Linked DNA regions of Macaca fascicularis. The protein of the gene in region 2 binds, or shares a complex with, the protein of the main gene of each other region. Links are inferred from orthologs where the notes say so. Each region holds a gene or a part of one and is shown on either strand. Other genes may lie near its edges.

Region 1 (7,169 bases), on a different chromosome or scaffold from region 2:
GCTAATTTTTGTATTTTTTGCAGAGATAGTGTTTCACCATGTTGGCCAGGCTGGTCTCGAACTCCTGATTTCAAGTGATCTGCCTGCCTCAGCCTCCCAAAATGCTGGGATTACAGGTGTCAGCTACCTCACCCAACCTGTTTGTTTTTCTTGAGACAGGGCCTTGCTCTGTCACCCAGGCTGGTGTGCAGTGGTACAATAGCTCACTGCGGCCTCCACCTCCCGGGTTCAAGTGATTCTCCCACCTCAGCCTCCTGAGTAGCTGGGATTACAGGCATGTACCACCACATCTGGCTAATTTTTTTTTTTTTTTTTTGTATTTTTAGTAGAGACAGGTTTTCACCGTGTTGGCCAGGCTGGTCTCGAACTCCTGACCTCAAGTGACCTGCCAGCCTCACCCTCCCACAGTGCTGGGATTAAAGGCATGAGCCACCGCGGCCTGCCCTATATCATTATTTTTGAAGTGAGTTTCTTATAAACTGCATATTGTTGAATTGTGCTTTTTAATTCATTCTATCGATTTTTGTATTTTAATAGATGTATTAGACCATTTACATTGACTGTAATTATTGATATGTTAGGGCTTGAATCTGTCATTTTATTTTTGTTTTCTGCTTTTTTTGTTTTCTTGTTTCTTTTTCCTGCCTTCCTGGGGGTTATTTGGATATCTTTTTGTAACAAACTTCTTAAGAACAGTTTTAGATTTACAGCAAAATTGTGAAAATGGTGTGGAGAACCATGGAGATAACACTGCCATCCCAGTGAGCCTTTTGGAATGAGAACATCTATCCTATGCCTGTATACCATTGTGTTTTAGATACACATAACTTGCCTGGTTTCACAGGTTCACAGCTGGAAAGAAATTTTGCCTCAGGATGAACCGTATCTCAAGTCTCACCCATACCTGATTTAGATGACATTTTAAAATTCCATTTATTTATTGATTTTGTTTTTTAGAGACAAGTTTCACAATGTTGACCGAGCTGGTCTCGAACTTCTAGGCTCAAATGATCCTCCACTTCAGCTTCCTGAGTAGATGGAACTACGGGTGCATGCCACCAAGCCCTGACTTAGATGCTATGTAGATGAAACTTTGGACATTAGACTTTGGAGTTGATGCTGGAATGAGTTAAGACTTTGGAGGCTATTGAGATGGAATGAATGCATTTTTCATGTAATAAGGACACAAATTTGAGGGGGCAGTGCAGAATACCATGGACCAAATTGAGTCCCCCACAAATTCACATGTTGAAGCCCTCACCCTCAGTGTGATGATATTTTGATATATGGCCCTTGGGAGGTAATTCAGTTTAGATGAGGTTATGAGAATGGGGCCATCATGATGGGATTAGTGTCCTTATAGGAAAAGACATCAAAAAGCTTTCTTTCTCACCGGTCGTGGTGGCTCATGCCTGTAATCCCAGCACTTTGGGAGGCTGAGGTAGATGGATCATCTGAGGTCAGGAGGTCAAGGCTGGCCGGACCAACAGAGCGAAACCCCGACTCTACTAAAAACACAAAAATTGGCTGGGTGTGGTAGCAGGCACTATAATCCCAGCTACTTGGGAAGCTGAGGCAGGAGAATCACTTGAACCTGGTAGGTGAAGGTTGCAGTGAGCTGAGATCATGCCATTGCACTCCAGCCTGGGCAATACGAGTGAGGCTCTGTCTGAGAAAAAAAAAAACACATAAAAACACGCACACACACAAGGAGGCCGAGTGCGGTGGCTCATGCCTGTAATCCCAGCACTTTGGGAGACTGAGGCAGGAGGATCACTTGAGGTCAGGAGCTCTAGAGTACCCTGGCCAACATGGTGAAACCTCGTTTCTACTAAAAATACAAAAAAATTAGCCGAGTGCGGTGGCAAGTGCCTGTAAACCCAGCTACTCGGGAGGCTGAGGCAGGAGAATTGCTTGAACCCAGGAAGCAGAGATTGCAGTGAGCCAAGATCGGGCCACTGCACTCCAGCCTGGGCAACAGAGCGAAACTCCATCTCAAAAAAAGAGAAAGTTTTCTTCTGTTTCTCTCTGCCATGTGAGGACACAGCAAGAAGGCAACTGCCTGCAAACTAGGAAGAGATCCCTCATAATCTGACCATGCTAGCATCCTGAAATCAGAATTGTGATAAATAAATTTCTGTTGTTTAAACCACCCAGTCCATGGTATTTTGCTATGGCATTCCTAAGAGACTAAACTAAAAAAATACAAAAATTAGCTGGGCGTGGTGGTGCATGCCTGTAGTTCCAGCTACTTGGGAGGTTGAGGCAGGAGAATTGCTTGAACTTGGGAGGCAGAGGTTGCAGTGAGCTGAGATCGTGCCATTGCACTCCAGCCTGGGTGACAGAGCAAGACTCCGTCTCAAAAAAAAAAAAAGTTAGTCTAATAATTGATAGTCTCATTATGGTATAGCTTAAGGAAGGAGTAGGATAACAGGTATATACAGTATGATATCATTTACATAATTATATATATAATATTATCCACACTGACCAAGAGTGGAAGAAAATAGGCCACATGCAGTGGCTTATACCTATTTTCCCAGCACTTTGGGAGACCAAAATGGGATCACTTGAGCCTAGGAATTCAAGACCAGCCTGAGCAACATGGTGAAATCTCATCTCTACAAAAAATTAAAAATTAGGTGAACATGGTGGCGTGCACCTGTAGTCCCAGCTCCCGGGAAGGCTGACGTGGGAGGATAACTTGAGCCTGCAATGTGTTGTGGTCATGCCACTGCACTCCAGCCTGGGCAACAGAGTAAGACCCTGTCTCAAAAAGGAAAAAAAAAAAAAGAAACATTGGATGAAAATAAATCAAAATGTTAGCAGAGGATATCTCTGAGTGGTAGAAGTATGCATGCATTTGATTTTCTTCCATGTTCTTTCCTTCGTTGACCAAATATTTTGTGATGAGCATATAATACTTTAAATCAGGAGAAAAGGCCGAGTGCAGTAGCTCATGCCTATAATTCCAGCACTGTGGAAGGCTAAGGCAGGCGAATCACTTGAGGTGAGGAGTTCGAGACCAACCTGGCCAATATGATCAAACCCTGTCACTACTAAAAATACACAAATTAGGCATGGTGGCACACGCCTGTAGTCCCAGCTACTCAGGAAGCTGAGGCAGGAGAATGGCTTTAACCCGGGAGACAGAGCTTGCAGTGAGCCAAGATCATGCCCACTGCACTCCAGCCTGGGCAACAGATCGAGAGTTTGCCTCAAAAAAAAAAAAAAAAGTAGAAAAAAAAATTCTGGGCCAGGCACAGTGACTCACGCCTGTAATCCCAGCACTTTGGCAGGCCAAGGCGGGTGGATCATGAGGTCAGGAGATCAAGACCAGCCTGACTAACACAGTGAAACCCTGTTTCTACTAAAAGTACAAAAAATTAGCCAGGCATGGTGGCACATGCCTGTAGTCCCAGCGACTTAGGAGGCTGAGGCAGGAGAATCGCTTGAACCCGGGAGACAGAGGTTGCAGTGAGCCAAGATCACGCTACTGCACTCCAGCCTGGGCGACAGAATGAGACTCCGTCTCAAATAAATAAATAAATAAATAAAATAATAATAATAATTCTGCAATTTTTTTTTTTTTTTTGAAATAGAGTCTTGCTCTGTCACCCAGGCTGGAGTGCAATGGTGCAATCTCAGCTCACTTCAGCCTTTGCCTCCCAGGTTCAAGTGATTCTCCTGCCTCAGCCTCCTGAGTAGCTGGGAATACAGGCCTGCACCACCACGCCCGGCTAATTTTTGTATTTTTAGTAGAGACCAGGTTTCACCATGTTGGCCAGGCTGGTCTTGAACTCCTGACCTGCGGTGATCTGCCCACCTCAACCTCCCAAAGTGCTGGGATTACAGGTGTGAGCCACTACAGCTAGCCTTTTTTTTTTAATTAAAAAAATTTTTTTGGCTCGGCATGTAATCCCAGCACTCTGAGAGGCCAAGGTTAGTGGATCACTTGAGCTCATGAGTTCGAGACCAGCCTGGCCAACATGGTGAAACCCTGTTTCTACAAAAAATACAAAAATTAGCCAGGCACGGTGGTGCATGCCTGTAGTCCCAACTACTTGTGAGGCTGAGGTGGGAGGATGACTTGAGCCTGGGAGGTGGAGATTGCAGCGAGCCGAGATCACACCACTGCAATGGAGCTTGGGTGATAGAACCAGACCTTGTCTCTCTCTCTCTCTCTCTCTCTCTCTCTCTCTCTCTCTATATATATATATATATATATATATATATTTTTTTTTTTTTTTTTTTTTTTTTTTTTTTTGTAGAGACAGAGTCTCACTATGTTTCTCAGGGTGGTCTTGAACTCCTGGACTCAAGCAATCCTCCAGCCTCGGCCTCCCACAGTGCTAGGATTACAGATATGAGTCACTGTGCAAAATATTATCTACATGGGTCTGTAGCAACAATACTCAAGAAATCATGGGTGTTAAGTGGTAGTGATTGTTGTAAAACTCACTAAAATAAGTTCATGAATATTAAAATATTCAAATTAACATACCACCAAAAGCCTTTCCCTGGGCCACCAGCAGTTGGTGTAGGGAAACTCTGGACAAGAATGCCACTGAGTTTCTGTCAACCCCAGCCCTCTGGGATCCCAAAGTTTAACTAAGAGCAGATCTCAGACACCAAAGGCTTTCAATCCATAGTGTGTTTTCCTCCCTGGATGGGGGGCCAGGGAGCCCTACCTTTAGTTAAGAAGGAGCCCTGAATTCCCAGAATCTTTATCTGGTTGGAGTTTTTCCAGTGGAATTGTGTGTTCTTCTTCTGCGAAGCATTACAGGTCAGTTCCACTGTATCCCCTTTCTTGCCCAGCACCACTTTCTTTCCCTGGGTGACTGCTGGGAGTAGCGCTGGGTGGAAAAGAAAGGAGTCAGGTCCCAATGCTGCCGCTGTCCCCCTCTACCCCATCCTCCACCTTTGCCTTTCCTCCCACGCCATCTGCATTGAGACCCCAGGTCTGAGAACTTACCCAGTTGCAGCACCAGAAGCAAGTGCCTAAAAGGGATTCCCCGGTTCATTGTGGCCTTGCTGAGGGAGGCAGGGGCTTGAGCCAGTAGGGACCTGAGCCTGCAAAAATGGCAGGGCCTGAGGGAAATACCAATCATTAGTCAGCAAACATTTATTTGACCTGGAGTATACAGGGGCCATATGCAACCTCTCCCTCAGGACCCTTGCAGCCAGCCCAGTGAACTTGAGGTAGGAGAACAGCAGAGGGAATTGGAGGTTGGATTAAGGAAGGAATGAGTAGGAGCACAAGCAAGAGAAAGAAGGAAGTGAGCAAAAACAGAAGTAAGATAAATAAGTGAATAAGGAGCCCCATGGCTGGCTAGATCCAAACCAAACCAGTAAGGAGGAGCTCCTAAGAGATGGGCATGTACTGGGCTGGGTGCAGTGGCTCATGCTTGTAATCCCAGCACTTTGGGAGTCCAAGGTGGGTGGATCACTTGAGGTCAGGAGTTCAAGATCAGCCTGGCCAACATGGTGAAACCCTGACTCTACTAAAAATACAAAAATGAGCCGGGCATGGTGGCATACACCTGTAGTCTCAGGTACTCAGGAGGCTGAGGCAGGAGAATCACTTGAACCAGGGAGGTGGAGGTTGCAGTGAGCCGAGATTGTGCCACTGCACTCTAGCCTGGAGGACAGAACGAGACTCCTCAAAAAAAAAAAAAAAAAAAAGCACATGTACTCCAGAGAAAAGAAGATATCCTTAAAATGACCCCATATAGTAATTGGCTACTTAAGGTTCAGAGTGCATATCATGCATGTACTTAAAATTATGGGAAGGAGGTGACACACAAGCACACAGAGGCCAAGAAACTGAGCAACTCACCTGTCAATCAAAAGGCACATGCCAGCTAAAGATTAGGCAGCTTGAGGAAGAAGAGAAAAAGACACATAGAAAAGGCATGAAGTATAACAAACCATAACTGACACCATTCGCTGGTCATCCTCGATCCATAGTGGATTGTACCGTGCTTAATAAACTTTTTGCTGTTTTGCTATTTGTGTGTGTCATGTCCAATTCTTTGTTTGTGGCACCAACAAATGATGGTTGTGGGACTTCACAACATCAGTTGGTAACAAACTAAACTTGCACACTCCTAACTGGATGCTCGGAGATACACACCACGAAATGCTATGCTCAGGCCAGGAGGGGGTTCTTTGCTGGGATGAGTGAAGAGGGGATCAGAAAAGGATGCACGGAGAAGGTGACAAATTGGTGGGGAGACCATGGAGCCAGGCCAGGACGTGGAAATGCTTGAAGGCTGTGCTGAGATGCTGCGACTGGATCCTGGGCACTAGAGAGCCAGCAGAGGATTTTCTATAGAGAAGAAGGTGATTAGATTTGCCACGTGGACCCCTGAAGCTGCTGAGTGAAAGAACTGGAGGAGGTGAGGCACCAAAGGCAGGACTGCAACCATCCTGGTGAACAAAGGGCCTGAGCCAAGTGGCTGTGGGAATGTGTGGGACAGTTCTAAGGTGACATTCCCAAGGATTGGGGCCTGATATAGTGTGAGAGGTGTGGGGAAAAGAAAGAGAGATCAGATTGTTACTGTGTCTGTGTAGAAAAAGAAAGACATTGACCGGCTGCGGTGGCTCACACCTGTAATCCCAGCATTTTGGGAGGCCGAGGCAGGCAGATCACCTGAGGTTAGGAGTTCATGACAGCCTGACCAACATGGAGAAACCCCGGCTCTACTAAAAATACAGAATTAGCCAGGCGCGGTGGCACACGCCTGTAATCCCAGCTACCAGGGAGGCTGAGGCGGGAGAATTGCTTGAACCCGGGAGGCAGAGGTTACTGTGAGCTGAGATTGTGTCATTGCAGTACAGTCTGGGCAACAAGAGCAAAACTCCGTCTCGGGGGAAAAAAAAAAAAAAAAGAAGACATAAGAAACTCCGTTTTGATCTGTACTAAGAAAAATTGTTCTGCTTTGAGATGCTATTAATCTGCAACTTTTGTCCCAAACCTGTGCTCACAAAAACATGTGCTATATTGAATCAAGGTTTAATGGATCTAGGGCTGTGCAAGATGTGCTTTAAAAAAGTTCTTGCAGGCCGGGCGCGGTGGCTCACACCTGTAAACCCAGCACTTTGGGAGGCCGAGGCGGGCAGATCACGAGGTCAGGAAATCGAGACCATCCTGGCTAACACGGTGA
Region 2 (7,169 bases):
AGGTCGAGGTGGGGACGCGGAGTGAGCCCGATGGGGACACGGGGTGAGTCCGAGGGGGAGCGCAGGGTGAGCCCGAGGTGGGGACGCGGGGTGAGCCCGAGGGGGGCGCGGTGGCGGGCCAGACTCACTGCGTTCTTTAGTCCCTTTGTCCATCCATTCATTCATTCAGGATCGTTTTCACTGTCGGTCCGGGACTTCGACCAGAACCAGGGAGAGGTGGTGAAACATTACAAAATCCGTAATCTGGACAACGGTGGCTTCTACATCTCCCCCCGAATCACTTTTCCCGGCCTGCATGAACTGGTCCGCCATTACACCAGTGAGCCCGGCAGGACCCCTCCCCCGTGCCCTATCAGCCTATCTCCCCTCAGTCCCCCTCGGGTGTCCCCCATCCATCTTTCAATGCGCTCCTCCATTCCCCGCAGTGGGTGAGGTGTGGAACTTGACCCTACGGACCCAAGTGTTTGGGTGACAGCCCCACACCCCCCTGCTAGTCCACTTCACCTAGATAGGAGCTTGGAGAAGTGGGGGAAGTGGTGTCAATACGAGGCCTGCCATATTGACAGTCTTCACCCCTCCCTTGTCCTCGCAGATGCTTCAGATGGGCTGTGCACACGGCTGAGCCGCCCCTGCCAGACCCAGAAGCCCCAGAAGCCATGGTGGGAGGACGAGTGGGAGGTTCCCAGGGAGACGCTGAAGCTGGTGGAGCGGCTGGGGGCTGGACAGTTCGGGGAGGTGTGGATGGGTGAGTGTGGCCTCCAGGACTGCCCGGGAAGAGGGGAACGGGAGGGGCTGCTGAGGTGGTGAGAGTCCCAGGACAGCTGCCTGGCGACTCTCCCACTCCTTCCCTTCCCCGATCCAGGGTACTACAACGGGCACACAAAGGTGGCAGTGAAGAGCTTGAAGCAGGGTAGCATGTCCCCAGACGCCTTCCTGGCCGAGGCCAACCTCATGAAGCAGCTGCAACACCAGCGGCTGGTTCGGCTCTACGCTGTGGTCACCCAGGAGCCCATCTACATCATCACTGAATACATGGAGAATGGTGGGTGCCGCCCGAGTCGGCTGCCGGGGGACACTGCTCTCCCCGCTGTCCCTGCCGGAGGGTGAAAGTACACCTTTTTTTCTGGCCCAAAGCTCAAGCAAGGAGGGTTTATTGAGCTTTCCTGGCCCCTAAAGACTCACCTCCAGCTGGGCGCAGTGGCTCAGGCCTGTAATCCCAGCACTTTGGGAGGCTGAGGCCAGCAGATCACGAGGTCAGGAGTTCGAGACCAGCCTGACCAACATGGTGAAACCCCGTCTCTACTAAAAATACAAAAATTAGCCAGGTGTGGTGGCGCATGCCTGTAATCCCAGCTGCTCAGAAGGCTGAGGCAGGAGAATCCCTTTAATCTGGGAGGATGAGGTTGCAATTGCAGTGAACCAAGATCATGCTACTGAACTCCAGCCTGGGTGACAGAGCTCTGTCTCAAAAAAAAAAAAAAAAAAAAAAAAAAAAGGCCGGGTGCAGTGGCTCACAGCTGTAATCCCAGCACTTTGGGAGGCTGAGACGGGCGGATCACCAGGTCAGGAGATCGAGACCATCCTGGCTAACACGGTGAAATCCCGTCTCTACTAAAAAATACAAAAAATTAACCAGGCGTGGTGGTGGGCACCTGTAGTCCCAGCTACTCAGGAGGCTGAGGCAGGAGAATGGCGTGAACCCGGGAGGCGGAGCTTGCAGTGAGCCGAGATCGCGCCACTGCACTCCAGCCTGGGCGACTGAGCAAGACTCCATCTCAAGAAAAAAAAAAAAAGAAAAAAAAAAAAAGACTCACCTCCAGGCATGTGAAAAAGGTATATCCTCTGATCCTGTCTGGGGGCGAGCCTAAGGTAGCAAGAATGTTCTGGAAGAGCATTCACCCCAACCTGCCCTGACCTGCCATTCTGTTTACCTTCTTCAAAGCCCTACCTTGATCTCAGGATGCTTGATCTCAGAAAGCGAATGGGTCCCTACCCCTGTTTCTCTCCCTTCTGCCCCTGAGCTTTGGGAGGGCAGATCTGCCCCGGAAGCCCTCTTTTTCAGTTCTGAGTGAGCCCCCCCACCCCGCACCCTTCTTGGTCTGATACTGGACAGAGTGAGAGCCCCAGGAAGAGGAATACGAGTTTCTAGCCTCAGCTTTGTTCACACCGATTTGCTGTGTGACAGGCCAAGTGCCTGCACTGTCTCTGGTGCTCAGTTTCCTCAAGAATAACAGCAGAAATCTAAATGGGCTCACCAGAATTAATACAGAGTATTCATCAAGGCCTCTAGCGTCTGACTGCCTGGGTCAGAAGTCTGGCTTCATGATTTTATGGCTTTGTGATAATTACATCACCTCTTTCTGTCATGGTTTCCTACTATAATAATGCATTAGTAACCTCCTCATAGGGTCTTGTGAGGATGAAATAATTAATGCATATATAGCAGTTAGAACTATGCCTACTTTAGGCCGGGTCCAGTGGCTCACGCCTGTAATCCCAACACTTTGGGAGGCCAAGGTGGGCGGATCATAAGGTCAGGAGATCGAGACCATCCTGGCTAACACAGTAAAACCCCATCTCTACTAAAAATAAAAAAAATTAGCCTGCGCGGTGGCGGGCACTTGTAGTCCCAGCTGCTCAGGAGGCTGAGGCAGGAGAATGACGTGAACCCAGGAGGCAGAGTTTACAGTGAGCCAAGATCGCACCACTGCACTCCTGCCTGGGCGATAGAGTGACACTTGGTCTCAAAAAAAAAAAAAAAAAAAAGGACTATGCCTACTTCCAGGTGTAGTGGCTCAAGCCTATAACCTCAGCACTTTGGGAGGCCAAGGTGGGTGGATCACTTGAGCCCAGAAGTTCAAGACCAGTCCGTGCAACATAGCGAGACCTCATTCCTACAAAAAATTTGTAAAAATTAGCCGAGCGTGGTGGTGTATGCCTGTAGTCCCAGCTACTTGGGAGGCTGAAGTGGGAGGACCACTTGAGCCCAGGAGGTTGAGGCTGCACTGAGCTGTGATTGCACCACTGCACTCCAACCTGGGTAACAGAGTGAGACCTTGTCTCAAAAAAACAAAACACAAAAAAACCACAAAACTATGGCTACTATATAGTAACTGATCAATAGGTTTGTCGCTGTTATCTGGCTCTGATTCTTTGGGAGTGTAAGATCTATCCTTCTTTCAGGAAGAGAAACAAGCTGTTCATTGGCTAATGGGAAATCGCAAATAGATTATGTCATGTGTATCTTTTTTTTTTTTTTGTCTCACTCTGTCCTCCAGGCTGGAGTGCAGCGGCACGATCTCAGCTCACTTCAACCTCCTCCTCCTGGGTTCTCATGCCTCAGACTCCCAAGTAACTGGGACCACAAGCATGTGCCACCATGCCTGGCTAATTTTTGTATTTTTAGTAGAGACAGGTTTTCACCTTGTTGGCCAGGCTGCTGTCGATCTCCTGACCTCAGGTGATCCTCCCGCCTTGGCCTCCCAAAGGGCTGGGATTACAGGTGTGAGCCACCATGCCCAGTCTATCATGTGTATCGACTTTGATTGGTGGTTGCTTGTAGCGCTGGAGAAGGATTCTGAGGTTCAATGGAAGTGAGTGCTGGGAATGATTAGTAACATCTGCCATGGACACAATGGAAGAATGGCAGTATATATATGTCTCCGTATTTGCTGTGTGTGGGGGAGGTCTTTGTCTTTGGTAACTAGTTCAGCACTCAAAGTGGGGACACTCAGGTTGCTGTCATCCTTTCACAGGGTTTTTTTTTTTTGAGACAGAGTCTCGCTCTGTCGCCCAGGCTGGAGTGCAGTGGCGTATTCTCAGCTCACTGCAAGCTCCGCTTCCCGGGTTCACGCCATTCTCCTGCCTCAGCATACTGAGTAGCTGGGACTACAGGCGCCCGCCACCGCGCCTGGCTAATTTTTTGTATCTTTAGTAGAGATGGGGTTTCACCGTAGTCTCGATCTCCTGACCTTGTGATCCACCAGCCTCGGCCTCCCAACGTGCTGGGATTACAGGCATGAGCCACCGCGCCCGGCCATTTCACAGGTTTTTTTTTTTTTTTTTTTTGAGACGGAGTCTCACGCTGTTGCCCAGGCTGGAGTGCAGTGGCGCGATCTCGGCTCACTGCAAGCTCCGCCTCCCGGGTTCCCGCCATTCTCCTGCCTCAGCCTCCTGAGTAGCTGGGACTACAGGCGCCCGCCACCGCGCCCGGCTAATTTTTTGTATTTTTAGTAGAGACGGGGTTTCACTGTGGTCTCGATCTCCTGACCTTGTGATCCGCCCGCCTCGGCCTCCCAAAGTGCTGGGATTACAGGCTTGAGCCACCGCGCCCGGCCCACAGGGTTTTAATCTCTTGGGAAGGGCCAGTGGTCATTCACTCCATCCTAGCAACTTCCACTCATGTCCAGCTGCCCTCCACTATTAGAGAGGTGGTCCTTCAGACCCCCAGACCCCCTCTTTCTGTATTCCATCCAATATATTCAGCACATTGTTATTGTTTCTTACTCTGGGCTGGGCACCAGGAACATGGATGGATGAAACAAGGTTCCTGTTGTCAAGGTTCCCCAGTTACAGGTACTGGGGAAACCAGAGTTTGTGCCATGGGAAAGTTCCAGCATGCCCATGGGAGTGTAGATGATGATCCAGTTTATTATGCCTGCTAAGATCTAGAGAGGCTTCCTAGAGGGGCAGTCTAACTGGGCCATGAAAGAAAAGTAGAATTTTTTTTAGCAGGCAGAGATGAAATAAAGAGGCTTTGGGGTGACAGCCTAGTAGTCTGAGTGCAGGATCTCAAAATTGTTAAAGTGTTTGAAGTCAAAGGCAGAGTGAGGGAAAGAGAAGAAGCTACCAGTGTCGCCCATGTCAAGCTTTGGATACTAGTTGAGGAGTCTGAATTCTACCTTATTGATGATGAAAAACCTACAGATCCCTCCCAGCGTGCTCTACCCTAGCCCCTCCCTCTGCAAAAAAACCTTCACATATCCTGGGCATCCTTACCCTGAACACACACTCCTCCATTCTCACTCTTCACTCTTCCTTTTCACATGTCAGACACACTTCCAGACATGTGAAAAGGGTCTGGGAGAAGGGTCTGGGGACCTCCTCCTGGGGCAACTTAGGCCAGCAACTCTTGCTTCTGCCCACAGGGAGTCTAGTGGATTTTCTCAAGACCTCTTCAGGCATCAAGTTGACCATCAACAAACTCCTGGACATGGCAGCCCAAGTAAGGAGACTGGGGAGGGGCTGGGCAAGGGCACAGGCCAGTGGCGTGAAGACATCTGGCTCAGGATTGCTGATCTGTGTTTGTCCTGCAGATTGCAGAAGGCATGGCATTCATTGAAGAGCGGAATTATATTCATCGTGACCTTCGGGCTGCCAACATTCTGGTGTCTGACACCCTGAGCTGCAAGATTGCAGACTTTGGCCTAGCACGCCTCATTGAAGACAACGAGTACACAGCCAGGGAGGGTAAGTGTGAGATTTAAGGGTGATCTGGGCCCTGCAGGGTCTAGCCAAGCAGACCCAGGTGACCTCACTCTGCCTCCTCCTTAGGAGCCAAGTTTCCCATTAAGTGGACAGCGCCAGAAGCCATTAACTATGGGACATTCACCATCAAGTCGGATGTGTGGTCTTTTGGGATCCTGCTGACGGAAATTGTCACCCATGGCCGCATCCCTTACCCAGGTTAGAGCCAAGGGCAGGAACTGAAAGGGTGATGGGAAGGGCAGCAAGTCCATGTCTCCCCACTCAATTCTTTCCAGTCTCAGAATCTGAAACTTTGTAGTTGCATCTCCTCTATCCTTTCAGGGGTATGACTCCAACATCCCAAGGCAGATGCCACATCTCCCAGAGCTGGCTTCCATCTCTGTATCTCTCTTTAATAACCCCAGCTCTTTTCTTTTTCTCTTTTTTTGAGGTGGAGTCTAGCTCTGTCGCCCAGGTTGGAGTGCAGTGGCGCCATCTCGGATCACTGCAACCTCTGCCTCCTGGGTTCAAGCAATTCTCCTGCCTCAGCCTCCCAAATAGCTAGGATTACAGGTGCGTGCCACCATGCCCGGCTAGTTTTTTGTATTTTTAGTAGAGACGGGGTTTCACCATGTTAGCCAGGATGGTCTCAATCTCCTGACCTCGTGATCCACCCGCCTCGGCCTCCCAAAGTGCTGCGATTACAGGCATGAGCCACCGCGCCCGGCCCCAGCTCTTTTCTTTAGTTGTGGCCCAGGCAGCCTAGTATGGTAGAAGAGGATCTAGCTCAGAAACAAGAGGCCTACCTTTTATTAGCAGATCTGCCACTGTTGCTAACTTTCTGTTTGGCTTTGTTCAGATCATTCCTTCTTTCCCATCTGTTCTCATTTCTAATATGAGATTAGAACAGTGCTTGGTCAATACTAAGCTATTATCAATCATCACTTTGAACTAGTCACTTCACTTCTCTGAGTCTCAGTTTCCTGATATTAAAAATAAGAGACTAGGCCAGGTACAGTGGCTCATGCCTATAATCCCAGAACTTTGGGAGACCAAGGTGGGAGGATGGCTTGAGCCCAGAAGTTCGAGACCAGCCTGGGCAACAGGTTGAAACCCCATCTCTACAAAAACAAAAATTAGCCAGGTTTGGTGGCATGTGCCTGTAGTCCCAGCTACTCAGAAGGCTGAGGTGGGAGGATTACCTGAGCCAGGGAGGGAGAGGTTGCAGTGAGCCAAGATCATGCCATAGCACTCCAGCCTAGGGCAACAGACCAAGACCCTGCCTCAAAAAAAGAAAAAGAGAGACTCCATCTCTTCCCCCCCCCAAAAAAAAAAAATTAAAAATTAGCTGGGCATGGTGGCACACACCTGTAGTTTCAGCTTTTTGGGAGGCTGAGGTGGGAGGATCGCTTGAGCCCAGGAGGTTGAGGGTGCAGTGAGCCATGATCGTTCTATTGCACTCCAGCCTGAGCAACAGAGAGAGAACTTGTCTCAAAAAAAAAAAAAAAAAAAAAAAAAGGAAAAATGAGAGACCATTTGTGAAAGAGCCTGACTCATAGTAGGTTGTCAGTATACACTGACTCCCTCACCATCTCCTGGACAAAGCCCTTTACCCCTGAATTCAGCCAAGACAGGGATGGAATTTTTTGAAAGGAACTTGCTAAGAAACTCTGGGGAGAGGAAATGGAGCACAAAGACAACGG
Region 3 (7,930 bases), on a different chromosome or scaffold from region 2:
TGTCTCCAGAACTCGTGCAATTGCATCTGTTCTGCCTACTGCAAGGCGGATGTCATTGTGGTTACATCGAAAATCCACCACATTCTGCAAAAAATATCATTGGGGTCACAAAGCCTCCTTGATGGGTTTGACATGTTGCCTTGTCCTCTCCCCTCCAACCCCCGTGGTGCTCTGTACAAAGGGGCTGCCACCCCCCGGCTGACACTTTTCTGAGCTGCAGGGCTAGAAGGCCCCCAAGCTGATTTCCGCAAGACTAAGATGGAACTACTCTATTTTAAAGCAGTACACCCCCAAATCTGGTCATCATCATACTCAGGGTCCTGATTCCCAAGATCCAAATATGTGGAGGTTGACTCTGGCCCCCTCCATGCTTCCACCACTGGGCAAGTGCAGTTTCGTATCTAGTCATCTTCCTTACCACCCTCTTGATTGTAGCCTTTGGCCAGCAGGGCCATTTGACACTCCTGATACAGTGCTGGTGGTACTGAGCAAAATGGCAAACTACCATCTACAGCAAGGATTGATGTGTTGGTGGCCTGTCTGGACTTGATTTCTTCCTTGTCTCCCTCATTCATGTGAGTTGAGGGACAGCACTGCGTCTACACAGCGAGGGACCCACATACCATGCACACACGCACACACATACACACACACACATGCATACATCGATATGCCAGTTATAACCATCATTGCAAAGGTGTTTTCTTTCCCAGCTACCTCATCTTCCATCTGAAAAAGCTGCAGGTACTGGTGCAAGCCCTCAGTGATACAGATACATTATATCTACTACAGCCTTGCTAGTGTTGCAATAATGAGAAATTGCCTAAATGTCCACTAACAGCAGAATTACATTATGGAACACCCACATAAAATGCCCCCATTTATAAGAATGAGGTGGATCTACATCTGCTGAAAGTTCTCCTTCCACTGTGAAACAAAATATCTTGCAAAAATACATATCTTATACAATCCCACGTGTCTAAGATGATGTATAAACATCTGTTTAGGTACAGATAATATCTGAGGGACACATTCAACTGTAACAGTGGTTTTCTGTGGGGAGCAGATGACAGTGATGAGAGTTGAGACAGGGGACTTTGTGTTTGTTTTTGTACAATAATATATTGCACTGTTGTCACTTAAAAGACATTTTTTTAAATTTCAGAATATAAAACGTTACATGTTCCATGTTAGAATAAGCATCTTGGATGCTTTGAGGGAGCTGGAAGGAGGTACTGAAATCCAAATAATTAAAAAAAGAAAAAAAAGCCCATCCAGGCCCCGATATGGTGGCTCACACCTGTAATCTCAACACTTTGGAGGCCAAGGCGGGGCAGAGTACTTGACCTCAGGTATTGGAGACCAGCCTGGGCAACATGGTGAAACCCCATCTCTACCAAAAATGCAAAAACTCAGCCCGGCATGGTGGTGCGCACCTGTGGTCCCAGCTACTTGGGAGGCTGAGGTGGAAGGATCACTCGAGCCTGGGAGGTAGAGGCTGCAGTGAGCTGAGATCGTGCCACTGCACTCCAGCCTGGGCAACAAAGCCAGACTCCATCTCAAAAAAACAACCAACCAACAGCAACAACAACAACAACAGAAAACCATCCAACACTTAAGTTTGGGCCTCACAAGGATAAGGAGAGTGTAGTTCAACAAGCACAGCTCAGCCCATGCTGTGTTTCTGGGGATGGAGGACACATCATGAAGTCTGGGGCATGGTCCTCACCCAGCAGAACTCATAGGTGGGGCAGACAGACATGTGGAACACAGAATGCCAGGTGTCTTGTCTCTAGGATCAAGCAGTAGTAATGTGAGGTGCAGCCACAGTGGGATTCAAAGTGGAAAGATTCAGAAGCCCGGAAGAAATGGGAAGAGGGCATGCCACTGGGGTTAGAAGGTTTCAGGACAGAAACAGGCAAAAAGGAAGGATGAGCCTGTAGTCGCAGCTACTCAGGAGGCTGGGGCAGGAGGATCACTGGAGCCCAGGAGTCCCAAGGCCAGCCTGAGTAAAACAGCGAGACTCCAGTCTTTAAAAAAAGAAAGAAAGAAAGAAAGAAACAGAAAGGAAGGGGACACATGTGTGCTAGGGACAGAAGAGAGAAAACTGCCTCTACCCAAGCATTCACCCACGTCACCCACACCTCCCCGCCGAGCGCCCAGAGCTGGGGGTGAAAGAAATGAGGTCCAAATGAGACTGCACAGGAGCTGCCTCCAGGGCTTTCACAGACCAGCATTCCAGGCAGATCTACAGCAAGTGCAAGGGCGTGAAAGCACAGAGCGCAGGGGTTGAATAACCTCAAGCCTGTGAAGCTGCAGCTGCAGCTGCAGGTGTTTGGGAAAGGCAGGGCAGGGGGCTGTGCGGAGGCTGGGAGGAGCCAGCACCCAAGGGCTGGTCAACCAAGCTGAGGGTTGAGTTTCCATCCAGCAATGCAGGCCATGGGAGGCTGCAGGAGTGACGCTGTTAGATCCCCTTTATGAGAATAATTTTTATAACAACGTGGCTGGAGGACTGGTCAGGAGAGAGACTAGTGTGGGGGCTGTTGCAAAGACTCCAAGAAGAGATGCGACTGTTTGGTGAGTTTAGCCGCTGGATGAAAGGCCGGAAGGATGAGGTCAGCAGCGCACTGACACTGCCACCCAAAGCTTCGGCTGCTGCCGCCCTCATGGAAATTTCCTGGGGGAAGGGAGAGGGCCCTTCCTCGGTGAACACTGGGGCTGCTCTGCGCGAGTTCCTGAGAAGCGGGCAGGTGGCTAGCTCCTCTTCCTTTTCAGCCCTCAGTGCCCATTTTGCCAACAAAAAGGGTGACAGTATAAGAGACGCCTTTAGTGAAGGCAAAGGAAGGGACACTCCCCTCCTTTCCTGCCGACTCTCGCCCTCACTTCTTGAAATCTTTGATCTCCCTTCACCCACTCTGTCACTCTCCTAACACAACCATTTCCAGGGACTATTTCCAAGCCCTTTTCCTCATCCCCGAACCTGCAGTTTTCAGCTGCCCCCAGTTGCCTGACCAGGCTGCCTCGACGGCCCCATTCACAGGCCCCAGACTCCTCACCGGGCTGGAAGGCGACAACCGCGAAAAGGAGGGTGACTCTCCTCGGCGGGGGCTTCGGGTGACATCACATCCTCCAAATGCGAAATCAGGCTCCAGGCCGGCCGAAGGGCGCAACTTCCCCCCCTCCGCTCCCCACCGGCTCCCGCGCGCCTCCCGTGGCGCCCGAGCTTCGAGCCGAGCCGCGTCCTGGGGAGCGCGTCATGGCCCCACCCGTGACCGCCTTGCTCCTGCCGCTGGTCTTGCTGCTCCGTGAGTTTGCGACCCCCGGAAAGGCAGGGGATGGGGCGGGCGGGGGGCGCGGGACTCGGGGCTCAGCCTCGCTTCCTGCTGCCTGCAGACGCCGCCAGGCCAAGCCAGTTCCGAGTGTCGCCGCTGGGTCGGACCTGGAACCTGGGAGAGACGGTGGAGCTGAAGTGCCAGGTGCTGCTGTCCAACCCGACGTCGGGCTGCTCGTGGCTCTTCCAGCCGCGCGGCACCGCCGCCCGCCCCACCTTCCTCCTATACCTCTCCCAAAACAAGCCCAAGGCGGCGGAGGGGCTGGACACCCAGCGGTTCTCGGGCAAGAGGTTGGGGGACACCTTCGTCCTCACCCTACGTGACTTCCGCCAAGAGAACGAGGGCTACTATTTCTGCTCGGCCCTGAGCAACTCCATCATGTACTTCAGCCGCTTCGTGCCGGTCTTCCTGCCAGGTCCGGGCGCGGGGTGCGGCACCTCTCCGCGTGGGGCTTGGGGTTCACCTCAACCTGTTTTCCACACACAGGTCCTGCTTTCAAGCCTCTTAGGGCACCTGGAAGAGACTTAGATATTGTTCCCATTTCACAGACACAGCAAACTGAGGCTAACGTGCGGCTGAGTAGGGACTAGGAATAGTGTTTTACGTCCGGCCGATCTGGGCTCGAGTTCGGATGCTTGTGTGGTTTTGGGCAAATGACTTAAATTCTCTACGCCTCCGTTTGTTCGTGGGTAAAATGCGGACAGCAATCAACCCGCGCTCCAGGGTTGCTGGTTGCCCGGGAGAGAGGACAGGTGCAGGGGAGCGGGCTCCTACGCTCGGGCCGGGCGCCGCGTGCGCTTGGCTAAGCCAAGGCCCGAGCACAGGGGTCCGCGCGCATTCCGAGGTACCCATCCCGTCTCCTCTGCCATCCCTTCTCCCAGGAAAACCGGGGGGGAGGTGTTCCCGTGGGGAAAGGCGCGCGAGGCTGGGGCCGGGGCGGGGGCGCGTCCATAATCCCAGACTGGCCCCCAACCACGCTCTGTTGCCCCTGCAGCGAAGCCCACCACTACGCCAGCGCCGCGACCCCCCACACCGGCGCCCACCACCGCGTCGCAGCCCCTTTCCCTGCGCCCAGAGGCGTGCCGGCCAGCGGCGGGGGGCTCAGGTGAGGCGTGCGGGGGCTCGGGGCGGGGGCGGCACGGACCGCGGGGAGAGCCCATGCCAAGGGGAGCCCTGATACTGTAGGTCAAGGGCTATCCAAGTGGTGGGAAACCGAGTCCTGAGGTGGAGAGACGTGCCTGGGATGGTGGGGCGGTTGAGAGGTCCCGGGCCCGCTCCTAAATGTCGGCGTCTTTGGTGTCGTCAGTGAACACAAGAGGGCTGGACTTCGCCTGTGATATCTACATCTGGGCGCCCTTGGCCGGGGCCTGCGGGGTCCTTCTCCTGTCACTGGTCATCACCCTTTACTGCAACCACAGTAAGTCCCGAGGAATCGCGGCCGGGAGGAGACGGCTCTGCTCCTGCCTTTGGCGCTGCTAGCTCCAGGCGGACCTTGCGGGGTGTGGGGTTGAGATTTCTGGGACTCCCGAGCTGCCCCGCAGGTACAGGCACTTCTTTCCTGGAGATAGAATGCGCGAAAGCCCTTCCCGCTCCTTGCGCTCTCAGAGAGGTTTTGGGAGACAAAGCCCTGTTCCCAGAGCCGCTGCAGCGGGTGTGTTCGGTCAGCGAAGCCCGCAGCGCGCGCACATGTCGGGACACACGACAAATGCCCGCCAGGAGGGGGCCGCTGTGCCCCTGGGTCAAGTGCCCAGGGGGGTTAAGTCAAAACCACGACCAGTTTGAGGTTCGTCCTTGGCCCTCTTCCCGCGAACCGCCTACTCTGCTTTGGGTCCCATGCAAGGGAGGTACCGGGTCAGGTCTGCAGGCTCCCTGCTTCCGCCCGCGTCTGTAGTTGCAATTTTAAAAAAATGGATGCTTGAGACGAAGGATGGGTAAGAAGCCCTTACCGGGCTCTCAAGAGTTATAATCCTCAAAGAAATAGGGGAAAGGAAGGAGAATTCGTAGGGGCCATTGCCTATTTGCCTCATCCAATTTCAGCCCATGATCGTTCTGAAATGATTTTTTGTAAAACCAAAAAACAGCAGCAGCAACAACAACAACAACAACAAAACAAAACAAAAACACTGTCTTTGGGGACTATTGGTGGATGGGGGCACTCACTTTTTCCCTTCTTTTTCCTTATCCAGGGAACCGAAAACGTGTTTGCAAATGTCCCAGGTGAGTCTCTTGGAACGCTCAGCCTGCTCACCTTGGCCAGCCCTGGGGTGGTCTCCTGGTTTCCCCAGTAGCAAATAGTAGCAACTTTTCCCAGAGAGAGGTCATGGCCGTGGAGTCCTGGGGCAGGGAGTCAGGTAGTTTCTGAGCAAAGAGAGGCCAAGGCTGGCATCTGGCCTGCATCCTTGAGAAAAAGTAGGCCCAGGTTAGGCTGGTGTCCACACAGTGTGACTCCAGTAAATCTCCATCTTATTTGGCCTGGCACTTAAAAAAAAAAAAAATACCTGAGGGATTCCCCCAATTCATCCGAGCTCCTTGGAGGACCTGACCTCCTCTTTATTGTGATTATTCCATCTGGGTTTTGTTGTTTTCTTAAGAAAATCTTTTTTTTTTTTCTACTTGGCTGGTCTAGTGTTTTGAGGGAGAGCCAGTCTTTTATCAGCTGAACCAAAAAAATAATGGCTTTGCTTCCTAATTTCTCTGTGTCATGTAGGACCTTGTTTTGCTGTCAAGGACTGGAGTAGAAAAAAGGGGAATGAGATGCAGGGACAATTAGCTCCCTGGCAGCTCAAGTGAGTGCCCCATCCAGTTTCAGCCCATGATCATTCTGAAATGATTAAAACACACACACACACTCATTGTTATAAACCTCCTCTCCACCCGTTGGCTGAGGCATCCCTGTGGTAGCATCTAACAAGTTCCTGCTCTAGTCAGACCTGTGATAGGGGTAATACACCCCATCTCTCTTAATCCTCACAGCAACCTTGCCCCATCTCATGGCTCAGGGATTAGTAAAGTGGCAAAGGCACAATTAAACTCAGATTATCAATAATAATAACCATTTGATGAAAGCCTCTAATGCATGTTACTTGCTTTATAGATAGACTTTTTTAAAGTTTTATAACAACCTTTAAAGTAGTCACGATTACCTGCATTGTACAAATAAGGAAACTGAGGCTTAGAACATTTAGTGATTTGTCCAAGGTCATACTGCCGGGGAGCTGCAACTTCCATCCAAAGCTCAGACACCTTCCCCATGGTTGCAGGCTGAAGTGTTAAGGATAACCGAATATGTACACCAGTTCTATTCAGTAGATGAAATATTTTACATTTTATACCTGGAGTTTGCATTTTATACGCCTGTACATTTTTCTGAGGAAATCCAAATTCAGGACTTTACACATTGTTATTTTTACCAATAAAAATGCAATGAATTTCCAATGCATATGTTATAGGTGATATGCTAAGGGGATAAAGACTGTTTAAAAATCAGCCGGGTATTGTGGTGCATACCTATAATCGAAGCTACTCAGGAGGCTGAGGCAGGAGAATCTCTTGAACCCAGGAGGCGGAGGTTGCAGTGAGCTGAGATCGTACCACTGCACTCCAGCCTGGGTAACAGCAAGATTCCATCTCAAAAAAAAAAAAAAAAAAAAGAAAAGTTTTAGCATTTTAATTATTCAGGGTACACTTGGGAACTTTTGTAGGAGAATCATCCCTTTTCCCAAAACTCTGATTTTGAGATGAATAACTGAGAATAAAGTTCTGCCTTAAAATACAAAGCTATACAGATTAAACACATCTGGGGAATTCCAACACCTGAGTTAATATACTCAGTGATGATGGTGGGCCGCTCCGCTTCAACAGAGAGATTTTAGAGGGCTGAGAGTGCAGACATGACACTCATGATGAATTAGCATGTCTACGAGGTGCCAGCCTGGTGCTGAATTCACACTTTTTTTTTTTTTCTTTCTTTCTTTCTTTTTTTTTTTTGAGATGGCGTCTGGCTCTGTCGCCCAGGCTGGAGTGCAATGGTGTGATCTTGGCTCACTGCAACCTCTGCCTCCTGGGTTCAAGTGATTCTCCTGCCTTAGCCTCCTGAGTAACTGGGACTACATGCGCCCGCCACCACGCCCAGCTAATTTTTATATTTTTAATAGAGATGGGGTTTCACCATGTTGACCAGGATGGTCTCGATCTCTTGACCTCGTGATCCGCCGGCCTTGGCCTCCCAAAGTGCTGGGATTACAGGCTTGAGCCACCGCACCCGGCCACTAACACGTTTTTAGCGTAACATCATTTGGCTGATGATGGTGATTTGCTCACATCCTCCTCTCTCCCTGTGATCCTCCAGGGCTGAGAATCAGGTCAGCTAATGACTTTGGTTATCAGTCTCACTCTCACACCTCTGTGGAGACCTTGACAAGGGCTCCAGGAAGCTACACTAACTCCGTTTAATCCTGGCTCAACCACCACCTAGATGTGTGACCTTGGGCAAGTTTAACTTCTCAAGCTCAGCGCCCACCCTTAAGGCTGCGGTGAGGATTACATGAGATGCCGCAAGTAAGGCATTTAGCAGAGGTGCTGTGCTGAGGTCATTCAGC

The links.
Region 1: the proteins of LCK (region 2) and CD4 are in contact, whole or in part, in an NMR structure (PDB 1Q68), measured with the Homo sapiens proteins. The link is inferred for Macaca fascicularis from reciprocal best matches to the Homo sapiens genes LCK and CD4. Residues at the interface, in NP_001036236.1 of Homo sapiens: Glu15, Ile17, Val19, Cys20, Asn22, Cys23, Tyr25, Pro26, Ile27, Val28; in NP_000607.1 of Homo sapiens: Ala429, Arg431, Ile435, Leu438, Leu439, Lys443, Thr444, Cys445, Gln446, Cys447.
Region 3: the proteins of LCK (region 2) and CD8A are in contact, whole or in part, in an NMR structure (PDB 1Q69), measured with the Homo sapiens proteins. The link is inferred for Macaca fascicularis from reciprocal best matches to the Homo sapiens genes LCK and CD8A. Residues at the interface, in NP_001036236.1 of Homo sapiens: Cys20, Asn22, Cys23, Tyr25, Pro26, Ile27, Val28; in NP_001139345.1 of Homo sapiens: Arg212, Arg213, Val214, Cys215, Lys216, Cys217.

What each region holds. Positions count from the first base shown.
Region 1 is NC_088385.1:7,726,141-7,733,309, reverse strand, and holds part of CD4 (T-cell surface glycoprotein CD4), read right to left. Parts: intron 6,332-7,169; 5' UTR 6,137-6,331; intron 5,092-6,136; 5' UTR 5,025-5,091; coding exon 4,976-5,024; intron 4,857-4,975; coding exon 4,692-4,856; intron 1-4,691. UniProt on the Homo sapiens protein: Integral membrane glycoprotein that plays an essential role in the immune response and serves multiple functions in responses against both external and internal offenses.
Region 2 is NC_088375.1:202,745,306-202,752,474, reverse strand, and holds part of LCK (tyrosine-protein kinase Lck), read left to right. Parts: intron 1-169; coding exon 170-319; intron 320-592; coding exon 593-745; intron 746-862; coding exon 863-1,042; intron 1,043-5,147; coding exon 5,148-5,224; intron 5,225-5,315; coding exon 5,316-5,469; intron 5,470-5,553; coding exon 5,554-5,685; intron 5,686-7,169. UniProt on the Homo sapiens protein: Non-receptor tyrosine-protein kinase that plays an essential role in the selection and maturation of developing T-cells in the thymus and in the function of mature T-cells. Plays a key role in T-cell antigen receptor (TCR)-linked signal transduction pathways.
Region 3 is NC_088387.1:23,090,333-23,098,262, forward strand, and holds the start of CD8A (T-cell surface glycoprotein CD8 alpha chain), read left to right. Parts: upstream 1-3,137; 5' UTR 3,138-3,256; coding exon 3,257-3,305; intron 3,306-3,393; coding exon 3,394-3,747; intron 3,748-4,326; coding exon 4,327-4,437; intron 4,438-4,638; coding exon 4,639-4,749; intron 4,750-5,518; coding exon 5,519-5,549; intron 5,550-6,039; coding exon of another isoform or gene 6,040-6,070; exon of another isoform or gene 6,071-6,118; intron 6,119-7,930. UniProt on the Homo sapiens protein: Integral membrane glycoprotein that plays an essential role in the immune response and serves multiple functions in responses against both external and internal offenses. In T-cells, functions primarily as a coreceptor for MHC class I molecule:peptide complex.